4 linked regions of the Anolis sagrei genome follow. The protein of the gene in region 4 purifies or fractionates together with the protein of the main gene of each other region. This does not show direct contact. Links are inferred from orthologs where the notes say so. Each region holds a gene or a part of one and is shown on either strand. Other genes may lie near its edges.

What was found.
Region 1: the proteins of ARID4B (region 4) and HDAC2 purify together in Homo sapiens (affinity purification with mass spectrometry; 4 studies listed by BioGRID and IntAct, with this or other methods). This does not show direct contact. The link is inferred for Anolis sagrei from reciprocal best matches to the Homo sapiens genes ARID4B and HDAC2.
Region 2: the proteins of ARID4B (region 4) and SIN3A purify together in Homo sapiens (affinity purification with mass spectrometry; 5 studies listed by BioGRID, with this or other methods). This does not show direct contact. The link is inferred for Anolis sagrei from reciprocal best matches to the Homo sapiens genes ARID4B and SIN3A.
Region 3: the proteins of ARID4B (region 4) and SUDS3 purify together in Homo sapiens (affinity purification with western blotting; 3 studies listed by BioGRID, with this or other methods). This does not show direct contact. The link is inferred for Anolis sagrei from reciprocal best matches to the Homo sapiens genes ARID4B and SUDS3.

Annotation. Positions count from the first base shown.
Region 1 is NC_090021.1:91,450,417-91,457,676, forward strand, and holds the start of HDAC2 (histone deacetylase 2), read left to right. Parts: upstream 1-4,253; 5' UTR 4,254-4,368; coding exon 4,369-4,420; intron 4,421-7,260. UniProt on the Homo sapiens protein: Histone deacetylase that catalyzes the deacetylation of lysine residues on the N-terminal part of the core histones (H2A, H2B, H3 and H4).
Region 2 is NC_090029.1:8,581,266-8,588,298, reverse strand, and holds the start of SIN3A (paired amphipathic helix protein Sin3a), read left to right. Parts: upstream 1-4,007; 5' UTR 4,008-4,052; intron 4,053-7,033. UniProt on the Homo sapiens protein: Acts as a transcriptional repressor. Corepressor for REST. Interacts with MXI1 to repress MYC responsive genes and antagonize MYC oncogenic activities. Also interacts with MXD1-MAX heterodimers to repress transcription by tethering SIN3A to DNA.
Region 3 is NC_090034.1:45,536,984-45,543,811, forward strand, and holds the start of SUDS3 (sin3 histone deacetylase corepressor complex component SDS3), read left to right. Parts: upstream 1-3,803; 5' UTR 3,804-3,959; coding exon 3,960-4,164; intron 4,165-6,828.
Region 4 is NC_090021.1:58,925,440-58,933,140, forward strand, and holds the start of ARID4B (AT-rich interactive domain-containing protein 4B), read left to right. Parts: upstream 1-4,689; 5' UTR 4,690-4,987; intron 4,988-5,178; exon of another isoform or gene 5,179-5,286; intron 5,287-6,140; 5' UTR 6,141-6,194; coding exon 6,195-6,200; intron 6,201-7,701. UniProt on the Homo sapiens protein: Acts as a transcriptional repressor. May function in the assembly and/or enzymatic activity of the Sin3A corepressor complex or in mediating interactions between the complex and other regulatory complexes.

The sequences.
Region 1 (7,260 bases), about 33 Mb from region 4:
CCCCCAAGGGAAAGCTCAGGGTTTGGGTTGGAGGTGGGAACAAAATCCCAGGAGGAACTAGGTTAAAATAAGATGTCTCCCAGTTCCTCCTGGAATTGAAGGCACTGTAGAAGGGCCCTTAGACTCTATCTAAACTGCCATATGATGAAGTTAAACTGGCAATCCCCAAGTTACAAACATTCAACTTACAAACAACTCATAGTTACAAACTGGGGTGAGACAACCAGAAGTGAAAGAAATCTACTCCTGGAAAGGGAAAATAATTTCTGGAAGAGGTAACATGGCAAAAAGGTGTCTCCGTGGAAGTTCTCATCAACTCTTGTATCCACAAGCTAAATTTTTCAAAATCCAATTATCACAGGGACAGAAAATGAGGTGAAATCTTCTGAACAGGGGCACAGACAGCAAAACAGGGGCACAGACAGCAAAATCTGACCACCTGGAGTGCTTCTGGTGTTGCCGCAAGGAGATCCTCCATTGTGCATGTGGTAGGGCTCAGGTTGCATTGCAGCAGGTGGTCAGTGGTTTGCTCTTCTCCACACTCGCATGTTGTGGATTCCACTTTGTAGCCCCATTTCTGAAGGTTGGCTCTGCATCTCGTAGTGCTAGAGCGCAGTCTGTTCAGTGCCTTCCAAGTCGCCCAGTCCTCTGTGTGCCCAGGGGGGAGTCTCTCATTTGGTATCAGCCATTGGTTGAGGTTCTGGATTTGAGCCTGCCACTTTTGGACTCTCGCTTGCTGAAGTGTTCCAGCGAGTGTCTCTGTAGATCTTAGAAAACTATTTCTTGATTTGAGTCATTGATGTGCTGGCTGATACCCAAACAAGGGATGAGCTGGAGATGTCTCTGCCTTGGTCCTTTCACTATTGGCTGCTACTTCCCGGCAGATATCAGGTGGTGCAATACCTGCTAGGCAGTGTAATTTCTCCAGTGGTGTAGGGCGCAGACACCCTGTGATAATGCGCCATGTCTCATTAAGAGCCACATCCACTGTTTTAGTGTGGTGAGATGTGTTCCACACTGGGCATGCGTACTCAGCAGCAGAGTAGCATAACGCAAGGGCAGATGTCTTCACTGTGTCTGGTTGTGATCCCCAGGTTGTGCCAGTCAGCTTTCATATGATATTGTTTCTAGCACCCACTTTTTGCTTGATGTTCAGGCAGTGCATCTTGTAGGTCCAGAGTGATTCCAAGGTATTTGGGTGCGCTGCAATGCTCCAGTGGGATTCCTTCCCAGGTAATCCTCAGAGCTCGGGATGCTTGTCTGTTCTTAAGGTGAAAAGCACATGTCTGTGTTTTAGATGGATTAGGGATCAGCTGGTTTTCCCTGTAATAGGCAGTAAGAGCACCTAGAGCTTCGAAGAGCTTCTGTTCTACCATCTCAAAGCTCCCTGCTTGAGTGGTAATGGCACGATCATCAGCATAGATGAAACTCTCTGTCCCTTCTGGCAGTGGCTGATCATTTGTGTAAATGTTGAACATGGATGGAGCAAGCACGCTCCCCTGAGGCAGGCCGTTCTTCTGTTTCCGCCATCTGCCTCTCTGGCCCTGGAACTCAACAAAGAAACTCCTGTTTTGTAGCAGGTTTCCTATGAGGCGGGTGAGATGGTAGTCCTTTGTGATATTATAATTTTTCTCAGGAGGAGGCAGTGGTTCACAGTATCATAGGCTGCTGACAAGTCGATGAAGACAGCTCCTGTGATCTGCTGCCTTTCAAAGCCATCTTCTATGTGCTGAGTCAGGTTCAGCACTTGCGATATGCACCTTTTGCCTTTCCTGAAGCCAGATTGCTGTGGGATCAGACAGGGGTCTATGTTTTCCATAATTCTATGCAAAATAAGTCTCTCCAGAACTTTGTAAAGATGGCGTAACAGGGAGATTGGTCTATAGCTTTTTGGATCATTACGGTCTTTGCCTGGTTTCAAGATGGCAATGACTCTTGCTTTCCTCCAGATTTTGGGGATCTGACAGGATGCAGTGCAGTTGTTCATCAGCTCCAGCAGCCAGTGTCTTGCTTTTGAATCAAAGTTCTTGATTTGTTCCATCCGTACATCATCCAGGCCAGCTGCTTTGCCATTTTTACATTTATTGAGAGCCATGTCCAATTCTGTAGATGTAAAGGGTTCATGGAGGTTGTTGTTCTCAATCTCTTGTTGTCTGGCTATTGGTTTCTTTCCTACTTTGGTGGCAAGGTTGGGTTTCCCATTCTTCAAGAGTTGGTGTGCTATTTGATCTGCCTTTATGTTGGCATGGGTATTAGTTTGTGAGCGGTCGTTGCTCAGTCGACCCGTCAAAGCCGACCCCTTAAAAAGATAGTGTATTGTGTGCAGGGCCGTAGCCAGAAAACAAATTCGGGGAGGGTTGACAATTTTGGGGGGGGGGGTTGAAAATTTGGGGGGGGGTTGAAAATTTCGGGGGGGGGGGGGGTTGAAACCTGCCTCCTAGCTCACACTGAAACGAAGAGCACAGCAGGGGGCAGAGCAGCCTTCAATTGTTGTTCATTCGTTCAGTCGTCTCCGACTCTTCGTGACCTCATGGACCAGCCCACGCCAGAGCTCCCTGTCGGCCGTTACCACCCCCAGCTCCCTCAAGGTCAGTCCAGTCACTTCAAGGATGCCATCCATCCATCTTGCCCTTGGTCGGCCCCTCTTCCTTTTGTCTTCCACTTTCCCCAGCATAATTGTCTTCTCTAGACTTTCCTGTCTCCTCATGATGTGGCCAAAGTACTTCAACTTTGTCTCTAGTATCTTTCCCTCCAGTGAGCAGTCGGGCTTTATTTCCTGGAGGATGGACTGGTTGGATCTTCTCGCAGTCCAAGGCACTCTCAGAACTTTCCTCCAACACCACAGCTCAAAAGCATCGATCTTCCTTCGCTCAGCCTTCCCTAAGGTCCAGCTCTCACATCCGTAGGTTACTACAGGGAATACCATGGCTTTGACTAGGCGGATCTTTGTTGCCAGTGTGATGTCTCTACTCTTTACTATTTTATCGAGATTGGACATTGCTCTCCTCCCAAGAAGTAAGCGTCTTCTGATTTCCTGGCCACAGTCTGCATCTGCAGTAATCTTTGCACCTAGAAATACAAAGTCTGTCATGGCCTCCACGGTTTCTCCCTCTATTTTCCAGTTGTCAATCATTCTTGTTGCCATAATCTTGTTTTTTTTTTTTGACGTTTAGCTGCAACCCGGCTTTTGCGCTTTCTTCTTTCACCTTGATTAAAAGGCTCCTCAGCTCCTCCTCGCTAGCCCCTGTCAGCCACCTCCACCAAGTCTGGCCTCCTTAATGAGAGCATTCAACACCCCCCCCCCCCCAACTTGGTTGCTTCACTACATTGGCTATTGCTGCAAGTAATGACAGTGTGAATAAATTGTCAATATTTGCTTGAGATAGTGCTTACAGTTCTGGAGGGACTCTTAATTTTTTGCATCTCAGACTTAGCATGGGGATTTGGTTAACCAGTTAATATTCATGAGTAAACCAGGTTTTTTAAAAAAATCTGAAACATTTCGGGGGGGGGGGGTTGAACCCCTAAAACCACCCCCTCGCTACAGGCCTGATTGTGTGCCTTTATTTAATAGGATAAAGGCACACAATACACTATCTTTTTAACATCCATACCCGATGATGAACCCAGTGGCCTTCGAAAACGTGTGCAATGTGTTGGGGGCCTTTTATTTGGCCTAATAAAGGGACCACTTCAATATGTTATTTAGATTTTCCTGCATTTTCTTTCAAAATCATTATGTGAGAGCTTAAGAGGGAGAATGGGCTTGGAGGGGAACTATTTTGTAGGGATTTCGTCCAACAAAACTGCCCGCCTTTTGCAAAACCCTTCAAAAAGGAAGAAAGAGGAAAAGGCGCGCGAGGCCGGAGCCAACATTCTCTGGGGTCTCATCCGAAAAGCGTCTCTCACAGCCAGGGAAAAGAAGCCCTCTGCGCTTGCGCACTCCGCACATGCTGATTGAGCGAGGTCGAGCACAGCAAGAACGGACCGCTTCGTTACGCAGACCGTACCATTGTGTCGTCGAAATTGAGGGGGATGAAGAAAAGAAGTTGATAAATTTTCGCTCTTTCTTTCAAGTGTAAAGGGCTCTGCCTCAGGAACTCTCTGCAAGTTACCATGTTGCCTTCGTTTGGTACCGGAGCGCAATTCTATGCCTTCGAAAAGGCGGGGCCTGAGAGTGCGTTTCCCCGCTCCTCCCCCCCTGCGGGTGGTTCCTTCCTCGAGTGGCACGAGCCCGCGGCTGGAGGAGGCGGGGCCGGCTTTTTCTCACGCAGCTGCGTCGCCGCCTCAGCGCCAGGCATCTCTGCTGTGCCCTGCCGGCCTCGCTTGATCCGGAGGTAGCTGGGGATTCCCTCAAGAGGCGGCTTCATGGCATACAGTCAGGGAGGCGGCAAGAAGAAAGTCTGCTACTACTATGACGGTAAGAAAAGTGGGGTTTCTTTCGCGTTTGAGGGGTGTGTATGCCTTTAAGTCTGTGAGAGAGCGCCTGAGGGTGAAACCCCCCCCCCCTTTTGTGCTCCGGCGCGTCCGTTGGTTCTGTGTACTCCCCGTGCGCGCGCCCCATCCCCATCCCCTGCGCGCGCCCCCTCTTCCTCCTGTCCTCGCGCGCCTTCTTGCCCCCCCCCCTTTTTTTTCCTTCCCGGCGCACGCGCCGCCTACAGCCCCGCCCCCTCCCTCCCTCCTCGACGCCCCCTCCCCTTTTTCTGTGCCTCTCTCTCTCCCCCCCCCCCCCCTCAGACCTATTGTGTCTGTAGAGGCGTCTCTCCAGAGTCCAGACGGAAGTTGCTAACCCAGACTCTTTCATCTCATTTTTCCTCCCACCTCCACCCTCTTATCTCTTGCATCCTCTTTTCTGTTTGTGAATACTTGGCTGCTAAAAGATAGCACTGGGATGGATGCAAAGGTATCCACCTGGAATGGAGGCTATTGTCATCCCCCCCCCCCCCGGATTTTGCATTGCAGGTATCCCAGGAAGCATCGGCACTGTAGAATAAATGAAGTTTTGACACCATTGTATTTTATAATTCTACTAGCCGTCCCCTGCCATGCGTTGCTGTGGGCCAGCTTGGTGATCTGGAAAATAAAGTAATAAGGAAGTGATGGTTTCTAATATATGTATTTTCTTTATGCTTCTGGGTAAACAGTATTTCTTGTTTCTTTTTCAGTATTGATGTAGAGATTGTCTGGTTTGCCTACTCTGGAACATGTAACATAGAATTGTCCTTTAGGAGTCCCTTTAAAATCTATGAAACTATATCTGTCATATTCATATGTATGTGTGTGTGAATCATATATAACTATCTATATATGGCTCTTTGTCAGGAGGGCTTTGGTTATGTTTTTTTGCCCGGGTGAAGGGAGTTGGGCTGGATGGCCTTCACCCAGCATTTCTCAACCTGGGGGTTGGGACCCCTGTGGGGGTCATGAGGGGGCGTCAGAAGGGTCATCAGATAACATCAGGAAACACAGTATTTTCTGTTGGTCATGGGGGTTATGTGTGGAAAGTTTGGTCCAGTTCTATTGTTGGTCGGGTTCAGAATGCTCTTTGATTGTGGGTAAACTATAAATCTCAGCAACTACAACTCCCAAATGTCAAGGTCTGTTTTCTCCAAACTCCATCAGTGTTCACATGTGGGCATATTGAGTATTCATTCCAAGTTTGGTCTAAATCCTTGATTGTTTGAGTCCATAGTGCTCTCTGGGTGTAGGTAAACTATAACTCCAAAACTCAAAGTCAGTGCCCACCAAACCCTTCCAGTATTTTCTGTTATTCACGGGAGTTCTGTGTGCCAAATTTGGTTCAAGTCCATCATTGGTGAAGTTCAGAATGCTCTTTGATTGTAGGTGAACTATAAATCCCAGCAATTACAACTCCCAAATGACAAAATCATTTTTTAATATATATTTATTTTTCAACATTTTCAAGAGAGAGAAAAAGGCATCCAAGATTACAGTGAAAGTGGAGCAACAGTGTGCTCGCCTTAGAAAGAAAGGAAAGAGCAAGAAGAGAAAAAAAGGAGGAGAGGGGAGGTGATGGCTTCCTGTTCGATCCACAGGGACGTAAACAATTGTGTCCATTTACTTTTCCGCATTATAACTTAGTTACTTTTCTCTATATTAGTTGGTATATCCTTCATCCGTAGAGTTGGATTTGCATATCTTCCTGCATAAACCTTCTCAGAGGCTCCCAATTCGTCTGTTTATTCTTATTTTTATTGTCAATGTATTGTGATAAGTTGTCCATGCTCATATAGTCTAGGATTTTGTTTATCCAATCACCAATTGTAGAGGGTCTTTCTCTTTCCATTTTTGGGCAATTGTCGTTCTTGCCGCAGCTGATATATAAAAAAACATCTTTTCGTTTTCACCTAAATTCAAGTTTGTTATGTTCAAAAGATAAAATTCCGGTTTCAACTCAAATTTCACCCTAATAATTTTTTGGGTACATTTGTGTATTGCTGACCAGTAATTTTTGATTGTTTTGCACCCCCACCACAAATGGAAGTGGGTGCCTAGCTCTTTTTCGCATCTCCAGCATCTATTAATTTTTATTGAATTTTGATATTTGTAGAGGTGTCAGGTACCAGCGAAAATATATCTTGTACCATCCTTCAATTATATTTGTAGCTTTCGTGAACCTTAACTTCTTCCAGATGTTCTCCCAATCTTTTAACAATATTGGATGGCCAATGTCAATGGCCCATTTTGTCATATTTTCTTTTATTCTCTCTTTTTCCAAGTCCCATTCTAACAGGCTTTGGTAAAGAGTTTTAATTAATTTTTGATCCTTTTTCATTATCTTATCCCAACTTGATTTCTTGGTATTGAACCCTACTTTTCGATCTTCTTTGAAGCATTCTTTTGTTTGCCAATAGTGAAACCAGCTCATTTTTCTGTCATATGTAGGCATGCCATCCTCTTCTAAGGTCCCACCCCTCTAGGGTTAACATTTTTCTGTTTTGTAGGGTCACCCAGTCGTTGATCCAGGTCAGAGCACTCGCCTCAAAATAACGTTGCAAATTAGGGAGGGTGAGGGCAAAATCAATTTTTTGAGTGATGGTCACTCATTGGGTTGTTAGGTGTATTCTGTCCAAATTTAGTGTCTATCCGTCCAGTGGTTTCTGAGTTATGTTAATCCCACAAACGAACATTACATTTTTATTTATAAAGATTTAAATGTTTAATTTACCTACATTGTTTGAAGGCATCAAATAGTTGCCTAAGTGTAAGCTGCCTTGAGTCCCCCTCCAGGGTGGAGAA
Region 2 (7,033 bases), on a different chromosome or scaffold from region 4:
CCCAATTTTGTGAGTCTTAGGTATCCCAATTCCATGGGTTCTAGGTAACCCAAGGATGATGGAATGGGAGAGGCTGTAAAGAAGCCTCTTATTCTTTGCAGGGAGGTTCTCGATATCCCAATGCCATGTGTTTGCCATGGATTCCAGGTGTCCCAGTACAATGGGTTCTAGGTATCCCAACACAACATTATTTTTGCCCCACTTTCCTTCCTTCTGTTGGCTTTTCCTCATTCCTTTTCTATTCCCTGGAGAAGAGAGCAGCATCCGAACCAACCTCAGTAACTTTTTACTGGAAAATAAGCTCTATTGAATGTGCATATTCTTCATTTTTATTTACTACAATCTATTCTCTTTTTTCCTTGTTTTTTTTTAATAAACAAAATATTTAACATTAACTTGATCAAATCCGAATTGGAGATAACTGTAAATGTTCTCAGTTCGCTGTTGTATGGCGACATCCGTTTTTGTTTCGGGGTTTTGTTTTTTTGTTTTGTATTTACGGAAATAAAGTATACAGACAACTCACCATTTCCGGATGTGTCGAATGTACCTTTTCTATCCAATCAAAGCTTCTTGTTCCTTGTTTCTTTTTTTATTTCCTCCTCTCTTCTTTCACTTCTTTTTTCCCCTTCTCTTTATTGTGGCAGTGCCTTTTATATTATAAATATAAATATTATAAAATAATAATATATATAATTATAATAAATAAAGCAGTGCGATTTCCAATGTGGCCTCAAGAGGGCGGCATAGAGGCACATTTTATCTGCTTTGATCAAGGGTGCAGTTTTCACTGTGTCCACTGGGAGCGCCAAAGAGTTCCAAACAGTTTAGAAAAGGGATTATTATTAAATAAAATAATAATAATAATTAATTTACAAATTCCCACTAGGTGTACATTTATTTATCTATATCCCAATTTAGCTCTCCATACAGATACTCAAAGCGGCTCACAATCAAAAACATTAGAACCTCAAATATACAATAATAAAACAATATTGCATATATTATCAATAGTAATTATATTTACTATATTTGTTTTACTATATTATATATATTGTATTAGTATATTGTATTACATTATAATCCCAATATATGTATATACAATATATTAGCATACTACAATATTAGTATATATTACTATATACTAATATATATAATATATATATTATATATATATAATATAATATTATATATATAATTATATTATACCAATACACACACACACATATATATATATACACATATACACACACACGTGTCAGGACTGACTTGAGAAAATGCAAGTCACTTCTGGTATGAGAATTGGCCATCTGCAAGGACGTTGCCCGGATGTTTTGATTTTTTACCATCCTTGTGGGAGGCTTCTCTCATGTCCCCACATGTGGAGCTGGAGCTGACAGAGGGAGCTCATCCGCACTCTTCCCGGATTCGAACCTGCGACCTGTCGGTCTTCAGTCCTGTTGCCACAGAGGTTTAAGCCATTATATATATTATTATATATATTGTATTACATTATAATATCAATATTATACATACAATATTTTAGCATAGCACAATATTAGTATTATATATTGCTATATTGTACTATACCACTATACTGAAATATTATTAGCAATATTACATGTAAGATATACAGTTGTCATATATTATTATATTTTATTATATTATTATACCACAATATATAAAATACACTGTCAGTATATGGAGCCTCCTGTGGTGCTGAGCTGCTGAACTTGCTGTCCGAAAGGTTGCAGGTTTGAATCTGGGGAGTGGGGTGAGCTCCTGCTGTTAGCCCCAGATTCTGCCAACCTAGCAGTTCTATCTACCTTTCTATCTATTTATCTTTCTATCTAGCTATCTATCCTTGATTTCTTTCTATTAATCCATCTATCTAGCCTTTCTGTCTATCTTTCTATTTATCTATCTATCTAGCTTTCTATCCATCTTTCTATCAATCCTATCTATCCATCTTTCTATTTATCTTTCTATCTATCCATCTATCTACCTATCTAGCGCTCTTTCTATCTTTCTATTTATCTTTCTATCTATTCATCTATATATCTATCCATCTTTCTATTATCTTTCTATCTAGCTATCTATCCTTGATTTCTTTCTATTTATCTATCTAGTTATTTTCTATCTGTCTAGCTTTCTTTCTTTCTATTTATCCATCTATCTTTGTATCCATCTTATCTATTTATCTACCTTTCTATCTATCTTTCTATCTTGATTTCTTTCTATTTATCTAGCCTTCTATCTATCTATCCATCTATCTATCTATCTATCTATCTTGATTTCTACCTTTCTTCCTTTCTATCTATCCATTCATCTATCCATCCATCCATCTATTTGTGTACCTATCTATCTAGCTTTCTATCTTACTATTCATCTATCTATCCATCTTACTATCTGTCCATCCATCTTTCTCTCTCTCTCTCTATCTATCCATCTTTCTACCTGACTATCTATCTATCTATCTATCTACCTATCCATCCATCCATCCATCTAGCTTTCTATCTTTCTATCTATCCATCTATCTCTCTGTCCATCTACCTAACCTATCTATCAATCCATCCATTTTTCTATCTATCAGTCCATCTATTTATTTATCTATCCTATCTATCTACCTATCTAGATTTCTTTATCTTTCTGTCTGTCTGTCTTTCTTTCTTACTGTCTATCTATCTATCTACCTATCTATCTATCTATCTATCTATCTATAAGGTAAAGGTAAAGGTAGTCCCCTGACATTAAGTCCAGTCATGTCTGACTCTGGGGTGTGGTGCTCATCTCCATTTCTAAGCCAAAGAGCCAGCATTGTCCGTAGACACCTCCAAGGTCATGTGGCCGGCATGACTGCATGGAGCAAAGTTACCTTCCCGCCAGAGCGGTACCTATTGATCTACTCACATTTGCATGTTTTCGAACTGCTAGGTTGGCAGAAGCTAGAGCTGACAGCGGAAGCTCACGCCGCTCCCCGGAATCGAACCTACAACCTTTCGATCAACAAGCTCAGCAGCTCAGTGCTTTAACCCACTGCGCCACCGGGGGCTCCATCTATCTATATCTATCTTGATTTCTATCTATCTTCCTATCTATCTATCTTTCTTCCTTTCTATCTATCTTTCCATCCATCTAGCTTTCTATGTAGCTTTCTATCTTTCTATCTATCTATCCTATCTATCTATTTATTTTATTTATTATTTATTTATTTCTTGCATTTATTAACCGCCGCTCTCAGCCCTAGGGCGACTCGTGGCGGTGTACAATACAAAGAAGACACTTTACAAAGCAATCAGGACAACAAACTAACATCACTAATACACAACATTTAAATTACACTAAAAATCCGCTGCGTCATATTATGGAATCATAATCAATCTCGTAGTCGTAAATTCATTCCGGTTGTCATTTCCAGTAACATAGCACTCAGTTGAAAGCCTGCTCGAAGAGCCACGTCTTCAGGCCCTTATGAAAGGCCATGAGGGAGGGCGCCTGTCTGATGTCAGCAGGGAGGGAGTTCCACAGCTGGGGGGCCAACACCGAGAAGGCCCTCTCTCTCGTCCCCGCCAGACGTGCCTGTGAGGCAGGCGGGATCCTTCTATCTACCTACCTACCTATCTAGCTTTCTTTCTATCTTGCTATCCATCTATCTATCTGTCCATCTTTCTATCTTGATTTCTACCTACCTATCCATCCATCCATCCATCTAGCTATCTTTCTATCTGTCCATCTGTCTGTCCATCTATCCAACCTATCTATCTATCCATCCATCCATCTATCAGTCCATCTATCTTTCTATCTATCCTATCTATTTATCTACCTTTCTATCTATCTTGATTTCTTTATCTATCTATCCATCCATCTATCTTTCTATCTATCCATCTTGCTATCTAGTTCTCTCTAGCTTCCCAAAAACCCACTAGACGAAGGGGGCGTGGCTTCCCCCCGCCCCGCCCCGCCCACGGCTGTGACGCACTCCCCTCCCCCCAGCCAATCCCCTTCGAGGGGCGTTCCTTCCCCATTCAGGAATCCTGGCTGGGCTTGGCAAGGTAGGCAACAGCTGCTTCCCCATTGAGGATGCTCACGTTGCTTCCTGATTGGGCGGCTGGCTTGTTTTCCTTGATCTCCAGGGGGGAGATTTTTGGGGGGACTGTTTGGGGGAGGGAGATGGGGAAGGATCCACTCGATCCCTGTTGTTTGTGGCTCTCCAGTCTGGGGATCCCATTGCATTGGGCCATAGCATCATATAGATCAGGCATGGGCCTGATCTATAGAGATCCCGAGGCAGGGAGTTCCACAGGTCAACAGGAACTGTTTTTCCCATAGCATCATATAGATCAGGCATGGGCCAACTTGGGCCCTCCCTCCAGGTGTTTTGGACTGCAACTCCCACCATTCCTAACAGCCGGTAGGCTGTTAGGAATGGTGGGAGTTGGAGTCCAAAACACCTGGAGGGTGGGCTCATGCCTGATCTATATGATGCTATGGGAAAAACAGTCCCTGTTGACCTGTGGAACTCCCTGCCTCGGGATCTCTAAGATCTATATGATGCTATGGGAAAAACCAGTTCCTGTTGACCTATGGAGCTCCCTGCCTCAGGATCTCTAAGATCTATATGATGCTATGGGGAAAAAACAGTTCCTGTTGACCTATGGAGCTCCCTGCCTCAGGATCTCTAAGATCTATATGATGCTATGGGGAAAAAACAGTTCCTGTTGACCTGCGGAACTCCCTGCCTCAGGATCTCTAAGATAATACATTCATGCACGGCATAAAAGGTCTTCCCTGTCAGCTATTACTTATATGAACCATGCATCATCGCCTCTGGCGTAGTGTTACATGTTCATGAATTTACTAGATGCGTCTACACTGCAATTTTAACACAGTTTCGACCCCACTCAGACTGCCCAGGCTCAAGACTATGAGGTGCTCGGAGTTTCGCCTTCCCTGTCCAAAGGTTGGGTTGAGAAATAATTCGGCTTTGGAGTTGCATCGGAAACCTGTGGGTCAGTTGTTTCATACATATACATACATACATACATATATATATAGCAAACACGTATGTATACACTGCATATTCCTATATATGTTTATTTATTTATTACATATACACACACACAACGCACATAAATAAATGCATATATCATATCTATATATATGTATATAGCTGCACATGCACAAATATACAAACATACATCTCCCATATTAATATACACATATATATACATACCTCTCCCATGTATACATACACACACACACATATACACTGCATGTATACACTGCATACTGGCATCTTCCTATATATGTTTATTTATTTATTACATATACACACACACAACGCACATAAATAAATGCATATGTCTCTCATATCTATATATATGTATATAGCTGCACATGCACAAATATACAAACATACATCTCCCATATTCATACACACACATATATATACATACCTCTCCCATGTATACATACACACACACACACACACATACACTGCATGTATACACTGCATACTGGCATCTTCCTATATATGTTTATTTATTTATTACATCTACACACACACAACGCACATAAATAAATGCATATATCTCTCATATCTATATATATGTATATAGCTGCACATGCACAAATATACAAACATACATCTCCCATATTCATATACACACATATATATACGTACCTCTCTCATGTATTCATACACAAACACACATATATAAATATAAAATAATAAAATTTATACTCTGCCACCATCTCCCCAGAGGGGACTCGGGGCGGCTATCTCTTATATATATACACATACCTCTCCCATATATATATATATATATATATATATATATACACACACACACACACACATACATACATACATACATATACATACACACACACACATGCATCTACTATATATACATATACATACACATCTCCTCTCTCTATATATAAACATATATGCATACACACATATATACACACACATTTCCCATACATACATACACATCTCCCATATATATATACACACATATATACATATATATAGACTTCCCATATACACACATCTATCTCCAAGACACCTATACACATACACATCTCCTATATATATATATAGACACACACACACATATGTATACCCACACATGCATACATACATACATCCCTCATATATAGATATACATACATCTGCCAGGATTCCATAGCCTTGAGCCATAGCGGTTAAAGTGGGGTCAAACTGCATTAATCTCACAGTGTAGAAGGATTGGCTAGTCCTCACTTCCTTGATCTATACTGTTACTGTCATATAACATCATATATTTAGTTTGGCTTAATAGGCTCTGTGTGTGTAATATACATGTAGACACACAGTTTTGGAAGTATACGACTTCAAACTGACTTCATTTGGATGTATGTATGTATGTATGTATGTATGTATATGTAGTCCGCACTTGTGGTTTGGAAGTATATGTGTCTTCAAGTCACTGGTCAACTAAATAGGTTATGAATTCTGTATATAATGTATTCTACATTTAAGTGTATGTGTATATGTGTATGTATGTGTGTGTGTATATATGTGTGTGTTTATGTGTATGTATGTATATATATATATACATATATATAGTCAAGCTGATTGTCAACTTAATAGGTTGTGTTGTATATATCATGTATTCTACATTTAAGTGTATGTGTATATGTGTATGTATGTGTGTATATATGTGTGTGTTTATGTGTGTGTGTGTGTGTGTGTATATACATATATATATTCAAGCTGATTGTCAACTTAATAGGTTGAGTTGTATATATAATGTATTCTACATGTAAGTGTATGTGTATATGTGTATGTATGTGTGTGTATATGTGTGCGCGTGTGTGTATTCAAGCCGATTGTCAACTTAATACGTTGTGTTGTATATATAATGTATTCTACATTTAAGTGTATGTGTGCGTGTGTATATATGTATATATAATCAAGCCGATTATCAAATTAATATGTTGTGCGTTGTGTATATAATATATTCTACATTTAAGTGTATGTGTA
Region 3 (6,828 bases), on a different chromosome or scaffold from region 4:
AGTTTTTCAATGAATATCTCATCATTTAGTCTCAACCAATTCAACATATAACCCTTCCAGACAGGCCCTATATCCCAGAATCTGATCCCATGTTTTCTACTTTAAACTGGGGGCTCTTCCATACAGCCCTATATCCCGGAATATCAAGGCAGAAAAGCCCACAATATCTGCTTTGAACTGAATTATCTGACTCCACACTCAGATAATGTTCATAAAGGGAAAAGGGGGCATGCAGGATTGGGGAAAGATTGGCCTTTGTCATCTGAAGTTCATAAGGGAAGACATGGTTATAAAATATTATTTACTTGGCATTCCCTTTTGCTAGCCTCAGACAGAAAGGCCTTGGAATCCTTTGTCTGTAGGTCATTGACTGGTATAGGGGACAATTAGCACAGTTGTTAATTCATGGGTCTGCTTAGGTAGGCCAAAGGTCAAATGCCTTTTGTGACAGGGTTACCAGTAAATATAGCAATTACCTTTTGTTATAAATATGTAAAATATAGGGCATAAATCTTGATTAAATGTACACACAATTTAACATGGGAATGGTCCTTGTTGTGGTTGTTAGTCCTTCTGCAGATTGGCCAAAACTTAACTCTTATTATATCATTCTGATGTTGAACACGAATTTGGAAGGCCCTGCCAAGGCAGAGACCAGCTAGACCCAAAAGGGGGATCCAAAACATCTGGCAAGACAGCAAGCACAAAGAAAGATTTTCCCTTAATTTCCCAAATAAAGTCTCACCAAGTTGAAGGAAAGCCACCGAAGTTTTTATTTCATTCCAGTTGGAACGGATGACGACTGCAGTTATCTGCCTGAGGAGCTGACATGCTCACTGGGCAAGGAAATAAAATATTTATAGAACTGTCAAATTCAAATCTCCCGTGCCCACCTCCTGGTGGTTGGAGTATCAGCTGACTGGGAGGAGCAGCCGGGGAGGCTGCGTTCTGTCCAATCAGAGCACTAGCCCCGCTTCGGCCACTCAGCCAATGAGTGGAGAGGAAAGCGGGCCAGAAGGGAAACAATGAATGAATGAGTAAAGTGATGAGATTATGAATGGCCTCTTCCGCACCTGTATTGATAAGAGGGCCAAAGCGATAGCTTAGCTCTCAAGCCTCAGCCCAGACTATTGTCCTGAATCTTGAAATATCATCTTTTGTCTGGCCCCAAAGGATAGTTCCATTGTCTTATAATCCAGTGATATTTACTTGATGATGAGAGAGTTTTCACAATGGGCAGTGACACATAGGTGCCTTCTGTGTTGAATGTTTTAACGTGTCCATGGGTCACATCTTCCTGGATGGTCTGGTTAATGAGACCCTCCGAAGTCCTGGAGAGGGGCCATTGGTCCATGCAAATTGTTTTGGTCAAGTCCTTTTGTTAGGGGATTACTGGCTCAGGAAGTTGTGGAGTCCCTAGAGCCATGAGTTTCTGGCATGGTTCATGAAAAGGTCACTTTGCTTCATAACTTTTATACATACACACATATAATGGATGGTGGCACTGTAGGGGCAAAAACGATCAAGATAATCCACAAATCCAAAATCCAAGAGCAGATTGCCCCTTCCCAAGGAGGGCGAGGAAGGACACCACGAAAGTTGAATCTTTAAAACTGCAAAATGCTATTTATTGTGCAGCTGAAGCAATAGTGACAAACATGCATATAGAAATGCAATAAAGGGATTTGTCCAACCTAAAGTTGGTTGCATTGATTATTTATGACTTTCATTAAAACAGTTTGATTGGTACATAGAAATCAATCATCTCATTGGTTCCCAAAGACAAATCATTTCATTGGTCTAAGTTAACTATGCAGTTCATTAGTTGTTTGTGATTTTGATTGACATTATAGCACACGTGGGATCCTAACAATGGCACAAGTATAACATAACTATAGTCCATTGTTCTCTGACCATGACTGTATCTTATCTGTTAGTCTGTTGCAAACATGGCTTCAGAGCGACTGGGAAACTTGGGGGTTCTATCTAGCAAACAGCTAGCTGGTTTTGTCCGGATATGTTGTTACCCTTGAATAGTAACTTCTTCTTTGGAGCACTGATTTCTCAAACAATCAGCATTTTCTGTGAACAAAGGCCTACTGCAGAAATAGGCCAATATGGCAGTAAATCATGACATATGGGCATTGGGGAAATATATGAAAATTCCCTTTTTAAAACCACGTCCCCTCCAGCACGAGGCATATACAGAGATCATATGAGAAAGGGGGAGGCATGCAGGGTCAAGGGGGAATTCATCTCAGTCACCCCAAAGTCCATAAAGTTCATGAAAGTTGGCAAGAAGTTAATAAAAGTTCTCAAAGGTTTCAGAAAGTTCATGAGAGTTCATACAAGTTAATAAAGGTACCGAGTAGCTAAAGTCCATTAATAAAAACAGGAGGTTCATTCATAAGTCCAATTCATAAGTGGCGAGATTGGCCTGCCAGTGGTCGGGGGTCCCAAGGAGTGACCACAGGAGACTCCCCGGGTTTGAGAGGCTTCCAAGTCAACGTGCACAAGAAGAACAGGTTGTGTGGAGCCATGGAAATAAACCTTCCATGCAGGCATGTAGCGGGGGGGGGGGGGGGGGGGGGGGACAAATTCTCATGGTGGTTCGCGAAAAGGCCTTACTGGTGCATTATTTAAACTGTTATGTTTATTCATATCATGATCTGATCACCATACTCAATATATCCCATATGCATGGGGGTATTCAGATAATGATACAAAAGGTTTGCTAGTCTAGACCCTCTTTCACTCAGACTCAGCCCCCCCCTCGAAACTCAGCCCCCCCCCCCCCGAAACCCCCCTGAAAATTTTTTACCCCCCCCCCCCCCCCCGAAACGAAATCCTGGCTACGGGCCTGGTTCCATGCAAAGAGGTGGATCTCCGGGCGCAGGGGTCCATTCAGCAAAAAGTAAGATAGCAGTTAGTCTTAGAATTGACCCAGGAAAAAGATGACATTGATTTGGAGTCGATCGGTCAACCTGCAGACACCAGTGCCAAGCTGGTTTCCGTATCCGCGGTTTGAAGGATCGCAGTTTCGGGCTCCCCAGTACATTGTAAGAGTGTCGCAGGTGAGCCAGCGGAGTTCCGCGGCTCGGGAAGAGGAGGGTTCATATTAATTGGTGTTAGAGTCAGTAAAGGGACACAATGTATCATTGCAGAGAGAGAAACATTAGAGAAAATAATACTTTTTATTGGGGGGATTGTTACAATGAAGCGGGGGGGGGGGGGACTAGGAGGGAGGAAAAAGGTTTCTCAATTGAAGCTGTTACTGGAGCCCCAGTCCTTTGGTTCATCTTGAAAGTCCATGTTGTCAGGAACTGTGGAACTCCCTGCTGCATTCAAATCAGTTTGAAGGCGGGGGCCTCTGAGTTCGACCTCAATTCCAGCTTGCTGTCCTTGGCAAAACTATGAATTCCCTGATTATAAACTATCTTTTATCGGGGGGGGGGGGGTCACTTCCACACAGCCCTATATTCCAGAATATCAAGGCAGAAAATCTCACAATATCTGCTTTGAACGGGGTTATCTTAGTCCACACTCAGATAATGTGGGATTTCCTGTCTTAATATTCTGAGATATAGGGCCGTGTGTACGCCCTAACTGAACGCGGAAACACTTCACGAAGCGTGTGGGTCCATGACTGAGTCGAGTCTATGTTCAAGGCACTAAGAGATGGACGGCACCTGTGCTTTCCGCCTAAGGGAAGCGCTGCGGTCCAAAACTAGTGATGACAACGAGCGCGGGTAAAGACGCGCGAAGGCTTCACGGAGCGCATGCGCAAGACGAGGAGGCGGGGGAAAGATCCGGAAGCGGCTTGTGCGCCTGCGCGAGGGAGCCGAGCTGCTCCTTCGCTCGCTGTGAGGCGAAGGAGAAAAAGAGCGGGTCTCGAAGGGGGAGGGGAGGGGGCGCGCGCTCTGCGCCGCTTTCTCCGCCGCTTTCTCCGCGCTGCGGCCATGAGCGTCGCGGCCTTGGTTTCCCCCGCCCTGCCCTCGCCGGGGCCGCCCCCTCCTCCCACCGCAGCCGTTTCTACGACCACGGCGCTTCCCCCCGGGACAGGCCCCGCCCCCGCCGCCGAGAGCTATGAGGAGGAGGACCTAGACAGCCCGCTCGACGAAGAGGATGGCGAGCGGAGCGGACGCGCACGGGACTCCGACGAGGGTGAGTCTGGAGCGGCTTCTCAGGGGGCATCCACACTCCAGACCTAACGCGGTCTCGTGCCGCTCTCTTTGCCCCGGCTCAATGCTGTGGGCTCCCGGGAGTTGTCGTTTGTCGAGCCTTTGCCAGGGAAGGCGCCGGACTTGGTGAAACGAACAGCCCGAGGGATTCTGTCGCCTTGGCAGTTCCGCTGGTTTCGAACCGCGTTAATCCGACAGTGTAGGTGTCAGAGCGATGGTGCGAAGAGAAAAGGGAGATGTATTGTCGAAGGCTTTCATGGCTGGAATCACTAGGTTCTTGTGGGTTTTTTCGGGCTATAGGGCCATGTTCTAGAGGCATTTCTCCTGACGTTTCGCCTGCATCTATGGCAAGCATCCTCAGAGGTAGTGAGGACCTCACTACCTCTGAAGATGCTTGCCATAGATGCAGGCGAAACGTCAGGAGAAATGCCTCTAGAACATGGCCCTATAGCCCGAAAAAACCCACAAGAACTTAGAAAAGGGAGAGCTCGCAACGCTTCCAGGGCCCCTTCCATGCCACTTTTTAAAATCGTACATTATCTGCTTTGACCTGGAATATATGGCAGTGTGGACTGAGGGCCCTTCCGCACAGCCCTATATCCCAGAATATCAAGGCAGAAAATCCTACAATATCTACTTTGAATTGGTTTATCTGAGTCCACACTCAGATAATGTGGGCTTTCCTGCCTGGATATTCTGGGATTTAGGGCAGTATGGAAGGGCCCTCAGATAACCCAATTCCACACAGATTTTGTGGCGTTTTCTGCCTTGATATTCTGGGTTATATGGCTGCGTGGAAAGACCATGGGTTCTCCGAGTCCACACTTCCAGATCACACTGGGTCCTTCCACGCAGCCGTATAACCCAGAATATCAAGGCAGATAATCCCTAAGGCTATGCTTTGAACTGGATTATCTGAGCCCACACTGCCAGATAGGGCTTTTACCCCAGGATCTGATCTCAGGTTTTCTGTTTATCCCAGATTATCTGGCAGTGCAGACTCATAATCCAGTTTAAAGCAGAAAACTTGGGATCAGATCCCAGGTTATATGGCTGTGTGGAAGGCCCCCCAGAATATCAAGGCAGAAAATTCCACAATATCCGCTTTTAACTGGGTTATCTGAGTCCACACTGTTATATATTCCAGTGCAAAACAGATAATGTGGGATTTTATTCAGCTGTGTTGAAGGGGCCCCTTTCTACACTGCCATATAATCCACATTCTCAAAGAATTGGATTATATGAGGCCCTGTCTACACTGCCCTGTATCCCAGGATCTGTAACCATGGTTGCTCTTTATCCCAGGTTATTTTATTGTGGTGGTGGTGGTGGAGGATGTCACATAACTGTCACCTCTGGTTGCTTGATAGATCCCCCCCCCCCATCTTGATTGACAGTTGCTCGAGGATTCTGGTTGCTCAGGTTCCCGCTAACTGAGGGGCCTTCCGCACAGCCCTATATCCCAGAATATCAAGGCAGAAAATCCCACATTATCTGAGTGTGGACTCAGATAACTCAGTTCAAAGCAGATATTGTGGAAATTTCTGCCTTGATATTCTGTGTTACATGCCTGTGTGGAAGAGCCCTCAGAATCTGCTGTTACAATTTTTTAAAAATCTAAACCGAAGCAACCTGGGATAGGTTTGTGGGAGCAGATAAACCCAATCTGTGTAGAATCCTGGGATTTGTAGTTTGAGAAGCCACCAGCAGTCTCAAGGCCTTGCCAAACTACAGTTCCCATGGTTCCCTAGCAGTGAGCTGTTGAACTATTCATTTGACAGTGTGAGAGAGAGCATCCCGTCTCCCTCCCACACTGCCTTTCCCTTTTTCCTTTGTGCCATGTCTTCCTTAGATTGGAAGCCTGGGGCAGGAAACTGTTGGGTTCTTGTTTTTGCAAAGCCTGGCGCCATGGAAACAGATGGAGGAAATCAGGATGCTCTTCACCCCCAAAATGTTCCCCAATTGTCTGCGTGAGCCGGTGTGATAGCAACTCTTCTGCTTTCACGTGGCTTGATATAAACAAACCATGCTTCATGTCCAATGTTTTGTTTTTTTTAAAAAAACATTGTGCATGTGAAACATAAGAGGATTTTGTGTTTAGACCCAAGATATCTCACAATATATGTGCAAATATTCCCCAACACCTCTGGTCCCAAGCATTTCAAATAAAGGATTCTTGAGCAATTATTATAATAGATGTGACATTCCTATTGATCTGTCTCTAGGGTTTGAGTATAGAAAGAAATAGAAATCAAGACCTGGTAATGGGTTTCAGACCAGCCTTCCCTTTATAATACTAAGTAACACAATTTTTGTTCCTGGGTTATAAATGTCATTCCTGATTAGTTCTTTCATAAAATATGGAAAAAGTTTATTAAACTGCATCTTGCAGCACATTTTGCTCTAGTTTTTCAGTAAATATCTCATAGAGTCTCAACCAATTCAACGTAATTTGTGGCAGCCACAAACATGAAGTTTCTGTATAACAGCTCCTTTAAAAGTAAGCACCGTACAATCAAACAGGAACAACACTTTCAAACCAGGAACAGAACATTTTTCAAAATTTGTTACCTAGGGTAATCAACTTAGTTTCTTTACAATGGTAAAGCAGATGCCCAGATCCCTTGTCATTGAAGTAGGTGCATAG
Region 4 (7,701 bases):
TACTTAGTATCAACATTAAGACAACCCGATGTAAGATGCTGGCTGTGATACTTCTGTGTTTATCTGAAAGTCTCTTCCATCTTTTACACTGGAGCTAAATAATCTGGATTTCCCCAAACACTCACAACAGAGGGTTGTTGTGAGTTTTCTGGGTTGTATGGTCATGCTCCAGAAGCATTCTCTCCTGACATTTCACCCACATCTATGGCAGGCATCCTCAGAGGTTGCGAGGTCTATTGGAAACTAGGCAAGTGAGGTATGTATATATGTGTGTGTGTGTGTGTGTGTGTGAAATATTCAGGGTATGAGTTGTGAGTTTTGTTGGAAACTACGCAAGTATGGTATATATATCTGTGGAATGTCAACCATAGCAGAGCACTTGATGAACCAACTTGGACACAACGTATTATTTCAGAATATAGAAATGCTGGACTACTCTTAACAGCCATCATGTCAGACTACACAGAAAAGCCACTGAAATCCATAAGCATGTGAACAATTTCAACAGAAAGGAGGAAACCATGAAAATAAACAAAATCTGGCTATTAAAAAACACCAAAATCAGGACACTAAATAAAGAGCATCACTAAAAAAACTGGGGAATTACAGACAAGAAATAATTAGGGCCAGCTAACACCTCCCACCAAAGGATTCCCCCGGACAGGAAGCAGCCAAGCTTTGAAGCTATTAAATGCTAATCAAGGTGGAGAATTGCAACATTCACACTTGCCACAAGCAGACAAGAATTCTTTCTCACACCCTGGACACATTTCACACACACACACACACACACGCACACGCCTCACTTGCCTAGTTTCCAACAGACCTCACAACCTCTGAGGATGCCTGTCATAGATGTGGGCAAAATGTCAGGAGAGAATGCTTCTGGATCTTGGCCATACAGTCCAGAAAACTCACAGCAACCCAGTGATTCCGGCCATGAAAGCCTTCGACAACACACCCACAACAGGATTTGTGTGAATCTAGGAAAAACTAAACTTGCAAAATGCCAACCTCAAAGAACAAAACTTACACCTAACTTCTTATATGGCAGGCATGGACAAACTTGGGCTCTCCAGTGTTTTGGATTTCAACTCCCACCATTCCTAACAGCCTACCGGATGGATTGCCCATGCCTGTTATATGGTGTTTCAGAAGTTAGCCTTTTCATCTTAATGTATTGGGTTAATAAACTTTTAAATCCATACACAAGCCAATTCTGCACTGGTTTGTCCAAAAATAAAATAACACTTTTTGTGAGATTGCAATCAATAGCTTATTGCCAATTGACACTTCAACCACTTAAGGGCAGTCTCATGATCTTGTTTCTCTAACTGTTTTTCCAGCAAATACTTAATTACATTCACTGTAATAGCCACAAAGGGAAACAGAAGATCTGTAAAATGTATATGAATGCATGACATTTGGATGCAAGTAAAGAAAAATCAAGAATGTGAAAAATTCAAAAAAACCGGCAGTGACATTACACCTCACGCTGTTCCACAAAAAGATCCACTAAACTGCTAGAAGTTATCAGTAACAAGAACTACATTTTCCTCCCACTGTTTTGTATAAAAGAATATACAATGTACTATTCGACTTGTTGCAGAGTTCTCCTGGGCACAAAAGAACCTCCTTTTGCTACAAAACATATAAGATAGTTGAGGTGTATTCTGACAACAAAATAACCTGTGATGGATTGATATGGATATTTGATTACTATCTCTATGATCTACCCACGGTTTGTTGTTGAAGGCTTTTATGGTCGGAATGACTGTGTTGCTGTGAGCTTTCTGGGATGTATGGCAATGATCCAGAAGCATTATCTCACGATGTTTCGCCACAACTATGGCAGCCATCCTCAGAGGTTATGAGGTTTGTTGAAAACTAGACAAGTGGGGTTTATATTCAATGCTAATCAAGGTGGCCAACTGCAACATTCACACTTGCCTCCCACAGACAAGAATTCTTTTTCCCTCTGTGGACATTCCACAGATATATAAACCTCACTTGCCTAGTTTCCAACAGATCTCACAACCTCTGAGTTTGCCTGCCACAGATGCGGGCGAAACGTCAGGAGAGAATGCTTCTGGAACATGGCCATACAATTCGAAAAACCCACAGCAGCACAAGAATCAAAATTTATTATTATTTCAACAGAAAGGAGGAAACCATGAAAATGAACATCTGGCTACCAATATTTATAAAGTCTAAATTCAAAACAGTAAATAAAGAACAACATTTAAAAAGCAGGTGAAATCCAGATAAGAATCAATCAGGGCGAGCTAACACTCCCAAAAAAGGATCCACCAGGCAGCAATCAGCCAGGCTTTGAAGCTACATAGCCATTAACTGCTAGTCAAGGTGGCTATTCACACTTGCCTCAAACCAACAAGTTGTTTTTCCACAGATATATAAACCCCACCTGCCTAGTTTCCAACAGACCCCTCAACCTCTTAGGATGTGTCTGCTATAAATATGGGTGAAACATCAGGAGAGAATGCTTCTGGAACAGGGCCAGACAGCCCAGAAAACTCACAGTTAACCAAGGTTTACTTCATAGGCTCATCTTGACTTATTCTCCACTCCTGTTATTTGATGGGAAACCTTTTCACACAAATGCCATGTTCCTTTGCCTCATACTTTGAACACAGATATCTACATAACAGAGTATACAGGAAATACTATGTTATTGTTATTATAGAAACATCAAATGTGCTGTAATGTCAGTTTAACTGGAGCCTGACTTTTGAACAACTAGACAGATCCTGTCAATATAAGCAAATACAAACATTTACCTGCAATAGTGGTAAGTTTAAGATTTGTATTTTAATGTTGTATATAAAAAAAATGACATCACAGCACATTTGATGTTTCTATAATAACAATCTATATAAATAAAAATGTAATGTTCGTTTGTGGGATTAACTCAAAAACCACTGGATGAATTGTTGCCAAATTTGGCCACAAGACACGTACTCACCCAAGGAATGATCATCACTCAAAAATATGATTTTGTCATTTGGGAGTTGTAGTTGTTGGAATTTATAGTTTGCTTACAATCAAAAAGCATTCTAAACTCCACCAATGATGGAACTGAACCAAATGTGGAACACAGGACTCCCATGACCAACAGAAAACACTAGAAGGGTTTGGTGGGCATTGACCTTGAGTTTGGGAGTTGTAGTTCACCTATATCCAGAGAGCACTGTGGACTCAAGCAATCTGGACCAAACTTGGCACTGATACCCAAAATGCCCAAATATGAACACAGATGGAGTTTGGGGGAAATAGACCTTGAAATTAGGGAGTTGTAGTTACTTAGATTTATAGTTCACCTACAATTAAAGAACATTCTGAAGCCCACGAACGACAGAATTGGGGCAAATTTCCCACACAGAACCCCCATGACCAACAGAAAATCATTAAGGCCATCCAGTCCAACTCCCTTCACCGGGGCAAGGAAATGTAATCAAAGCCCTCCTGACAAAGAGCCATCCAGCCATAGATATAGATAGATAGATAGATATGATTCACACACAGAGAGATATAGTATTATAGATTTGAAAGGGCAATGATACGTTGCATGTTCCAGAGTAGGCAAATCAAACACTATCCACATCAACACTGACAAAGAAACAGCAAGAAATACTGTTTACCCAACAAGCATAAAGAAATTCCATATATTAGAAACCAACACTTTCTCATTACTTTATTTCCCAGATCACCAGACTGGGCCACAGCAACGCGTGGCAGGGGACAGATAGTAACATATTGTTTCCTGTATATTCCTCTTCCTCCTCAACAAGTGAGGAGACTGAACTCACGAAGTTACTCTCAAGGCTTCCAGATTGTCATAAAAGAACATCCCCTGCCTTCACATAACATGGAATGACTTACATCCCTATATAATACAGGCGCCACTCCACGTTTAGAATGAATCTAATTTTCAGCGATGAAAAAGAGGTCTTCAACAAGCCAGCCGCATGACACACCGTATCTTGGAAGCCTCCGGAAAACCAGCCAACCTCCCGCTTGCCTGCGCCTCCTGCCGTCTCTCTCCGCCCGCGGCCCCTTTAATAGTCGCCTGCGATGGTGGGCGGGGCTTGGAGCAGGGCGGGGAGCAGCGGAGGTGAGGTGGGGGGGGGGTCTCCCGAGGAAGGCTCCGGCTCGCGCGCCCTGGCCTCCTCCGCCGACGGGCGCGAGCCCTTCTCCCCTCCTCAGGCGCCGCTCGGTCCCGCTTGGTGGTCTCCGGAGCGGAGAAGGCCAGGCCCCACCCCCGGGTCCCTTCCGCCTCAGTCGCCACCTTCGCTCGATGGGGGGAAAATGCGCCACCGGAGCGCCTTGGCGCAGGCGCGGGCTCCTCCCACTCCTCCCCTTGCCGTAAGCCCTCTCCGGCCCTCTCCCCCTCTATTTGCTTGCTCCGCTCCCGGTGCATTTCGGGAGTTGTAGTGCAGCCGGGTGCACAATCCCCGCCGGAGTCTGCGGCAAAAGGTGACAGCGGAGGACCTCACTACCCAGAAGGCACCGCGGGGGCCGAGTCTCTGTTTCCATAGAACGGCGGTGAGAATTACATCAGTGTTTCAGCTCGAGAAGCTAATGGCGTGGAGGGAATGGGCGGGCTCTGCGCCTCGGCAACCAATGGCGTGCCGGTAAGGCGGGGAGAGGGCGGGCTTTGCGCCGTCAGTCACTCCTGGGTCTTGGGGGAGGGGAGTGAGCAGCTCGGAGGGGAGCCGCCGCCGCTGCTGTCGCTGTCGCCGCCGCCACCGGGGCTGGGACGGGAGGGACCGCTGCCCCCCCTCGCCCGCCCGCCAAAGATTTCTCCGCGAGCGTGGGATTACTATTCTCCTCCTCGACTGCCCAGGGATCGGGTCCAGCGTTGGGAGGAGGCTCCATCCTCCTCGCGCCCCCCCTCCCCCCGCCTCGAAGGTTTGGGGGGACCCGCGAGACAGAGAGAGAGGGAGAGAGCGCGCGCCGCGGAACAAAGGTAACGTTGCCCTGAGCGAGACCTTCCCTGAGTGGAAGGAAGGAAGGAAGCCCTTTGAGGAGAGAGAGAGAGCGAGGAAGAAAGAAAGAAAGAGAGAGAGGGGCGCTTCTCCGGTGTGTTGTTTTCCTCGTCGAGTCCCGCCGATTCAAAGCCCCCCCCCCCATCTCCTTTCCTCCCTTCCCCATACATACCGGAGCCTGGAGGTGGAGGCCAAGGAGGCCCTCGAGCCCTCTCCCTCCCTCCCTCGACCGAGCTGCGGCTGTTGCTCAAACTCCTGCCGCGGAGTCAGCGTTTGAGGAGGCAGAAAGAGAGAGAGAGAAAAAGGGAAAGGAAGAAGGGGAGCAAAGGAGAGGAAGGGAGGGAGGGAGGTGGGGGCGGTTTGGGAAGCGGCGCGGACGACGACGGGGAGGAGGAGAAGGAGGCGAGCCGCTTCCCGAGCCGCCCCCACCTTCCTTCCTTCTCATTCTTTCCTTCTCCTTCATTTCTTCCTCCCTTCCCCTTCCTTCCCTTCTTCCTTCCCCTTCCTTCCCTTCTCCCCTTCTCCCTCCTTCTTCTTTCCTTCCTTCTCCTTCTTTCCTTCCTTCTTTCCTTCTCCTTCTTTCCTTCTCCTCCTTTCCTTTTCCTCCATTCCTTCTTCTCCTTCATTCCTTCTGCTTCCTTCTATCTTTCTTTCCTTCCTTTCTTCTCCTTCTTTCCTTCTCCTTCCTTCCTTTCCTTTCCTTCCCCTTCCTTTCCTTTCCCTCCCTCTTGCCTTCCTTCCTTCTCTCTCTCTCTCTCTCTCCCCCGATACAATGGCGAGGCCTCCCCTCCCTCCGAAGAGGCGAAGGCGGGGAGCGGTGGCCGGTGAGCCGCTTGTTGTGAGGCCGTTGGTTGTTGTTGTGGCAAGTTTCTCCTCTGACAGAAATGGCGTCAAAGGAAGGCGGCAGCGAGAGGGGGAAAGCGAAGCCGCCGTGTGTGAAAGAGAGAGAAAGAGAAAGGGAGGAAGAAGGCCAAGCCGGGGGGGGGGGGGGCGAGGGAGGGAGGGAGGAGCGGGCTTTGTGTGTGTGTGTATGTGTGTGTGGAAGTGGGAGAAGCGCCCCAAGAATACTACATATCCCCCCCCCCCGAAAGGGGGAGGTGCGGCGGTGCCTCAGTGCTTTGTTTTACATTCCAGGTCCTCAGCCGCTCGACCTCTTTTCGGGTTTGACTCCTGCAGTTCTTCTTCATCATGAAGGTAAAAAACCCCTTGCCTTGCCTGTCTGTCCCTGTTGTGCGGGGAGAGGATGGGAGGGCGGTTATGTCTACTACTCCAGCTCTGCCTTTTTTTCAGTGCTGTGTTTTCCAGAGCCAGGCTGCTTGCTGCCGGTTGTTTTCCTCTCTTGAACATGTCGTCGTGTGTGTGTGTGTGAGGCAGGGCTTGGCTTTTTTTTTTAAAGCCTCCTCTTCGGCTGCAGAATGGAAAGCAAGCCAGCGAGCCGGAGTTTGCCTCCTTTTCCAAAGGGAAGGAGGACATGGCTGCCTGGTGTATAGTTTGGTGGGAGGGAGAGGAGGAGGAGGAGACAGCATTGGCTGTCCCTCAGAAAGGTCTGGTTGAAACAGTTGTGTTTTGTGCATAGATCAGGCATGGGCAAACTTGGGCCCTTCCAGTGTTTTGGACTTCAACTCCCACCATTCCTAAGAACCTCAGGCCCTTTCTCCCTCATGCGCTTAAGCTATTTGACAGCATAATATTGACTACCTCAGAGTATCCCAACTCTAAAGATATTATAAATCTCTTCCTAATATCTTCCACTTCCCCAGTTTTTTCCCCTCTCATCAAATTAGTCACATTGCTCAGAATATAGCAGGCATGGGCAAACTTGGTCCCTCCAGGTGTTTTGAACTTCAACTCCCACCATTCCTAACAGCCTCGGGCCTTTCTTTCCTTTCTGCTTAAGTGGCTGAGGGGGAAAGGGAGGGGAGGGGGCCTGAGGCTTTTAGAAATGGTAGGAGTTGGTCCAAAACACCTGGAGGGCCCAAGTTTGGCCATGCCTGGTTTACATGAAAGGATAGAGCCCTTTTGTATCATTTAGTGTTGAGATCAATATTTGGAAGCACCTTCATTAGATAGAAAACCACTGGTTTTTTTGGTTTTTTTAAAAATCAAAGCCGCTTTTTAACTATCGGATGCAGAGAATGTTTATATAGCATGTACGTTTTAGCTAGCCCCCAGTGATGCAGTGGGTTAAATCACTGAGCTGCTGAACTTGCTGACCGAAAGTTCGGCAGTTTGAATCTGGGGAGTGGGGTAAGCTTCCACTGTTAGCCCAGCTTCTGCCAACCTAGTAGTTTTGAGTAGATCAATAGGTACTGCTTCAGCAGAACGGTAACAGCACTCCATGCTGTCATGCTGGCCACATGACCTACAAGATGTCTATAGACAGTGCTGGCTCTTTGGCTTGGAAATGGAGATGAGCACCACACCCCAGAGTGAGACATGACTAGTGTTATTGTCAAGGAGAAACCTTTACTGGTGGCCAAGTGTTTTGAAACAAACGAGATGGAAACAATGTTCATACTGTGCTTCTTATTTAAAAGAGATGAAGAGAAAAGACAAAGTCTCAATGATTTTCTCATTTGATAAGCCCAAATCATCTTAAGACTTTGTCTCTTCTGTACAGCCCTTCCATTGCGTGTTATCAGTCTGGGTTGCTTCTCCTTATTTTTTGAACCTGTGTTGATTATATTCATGGACT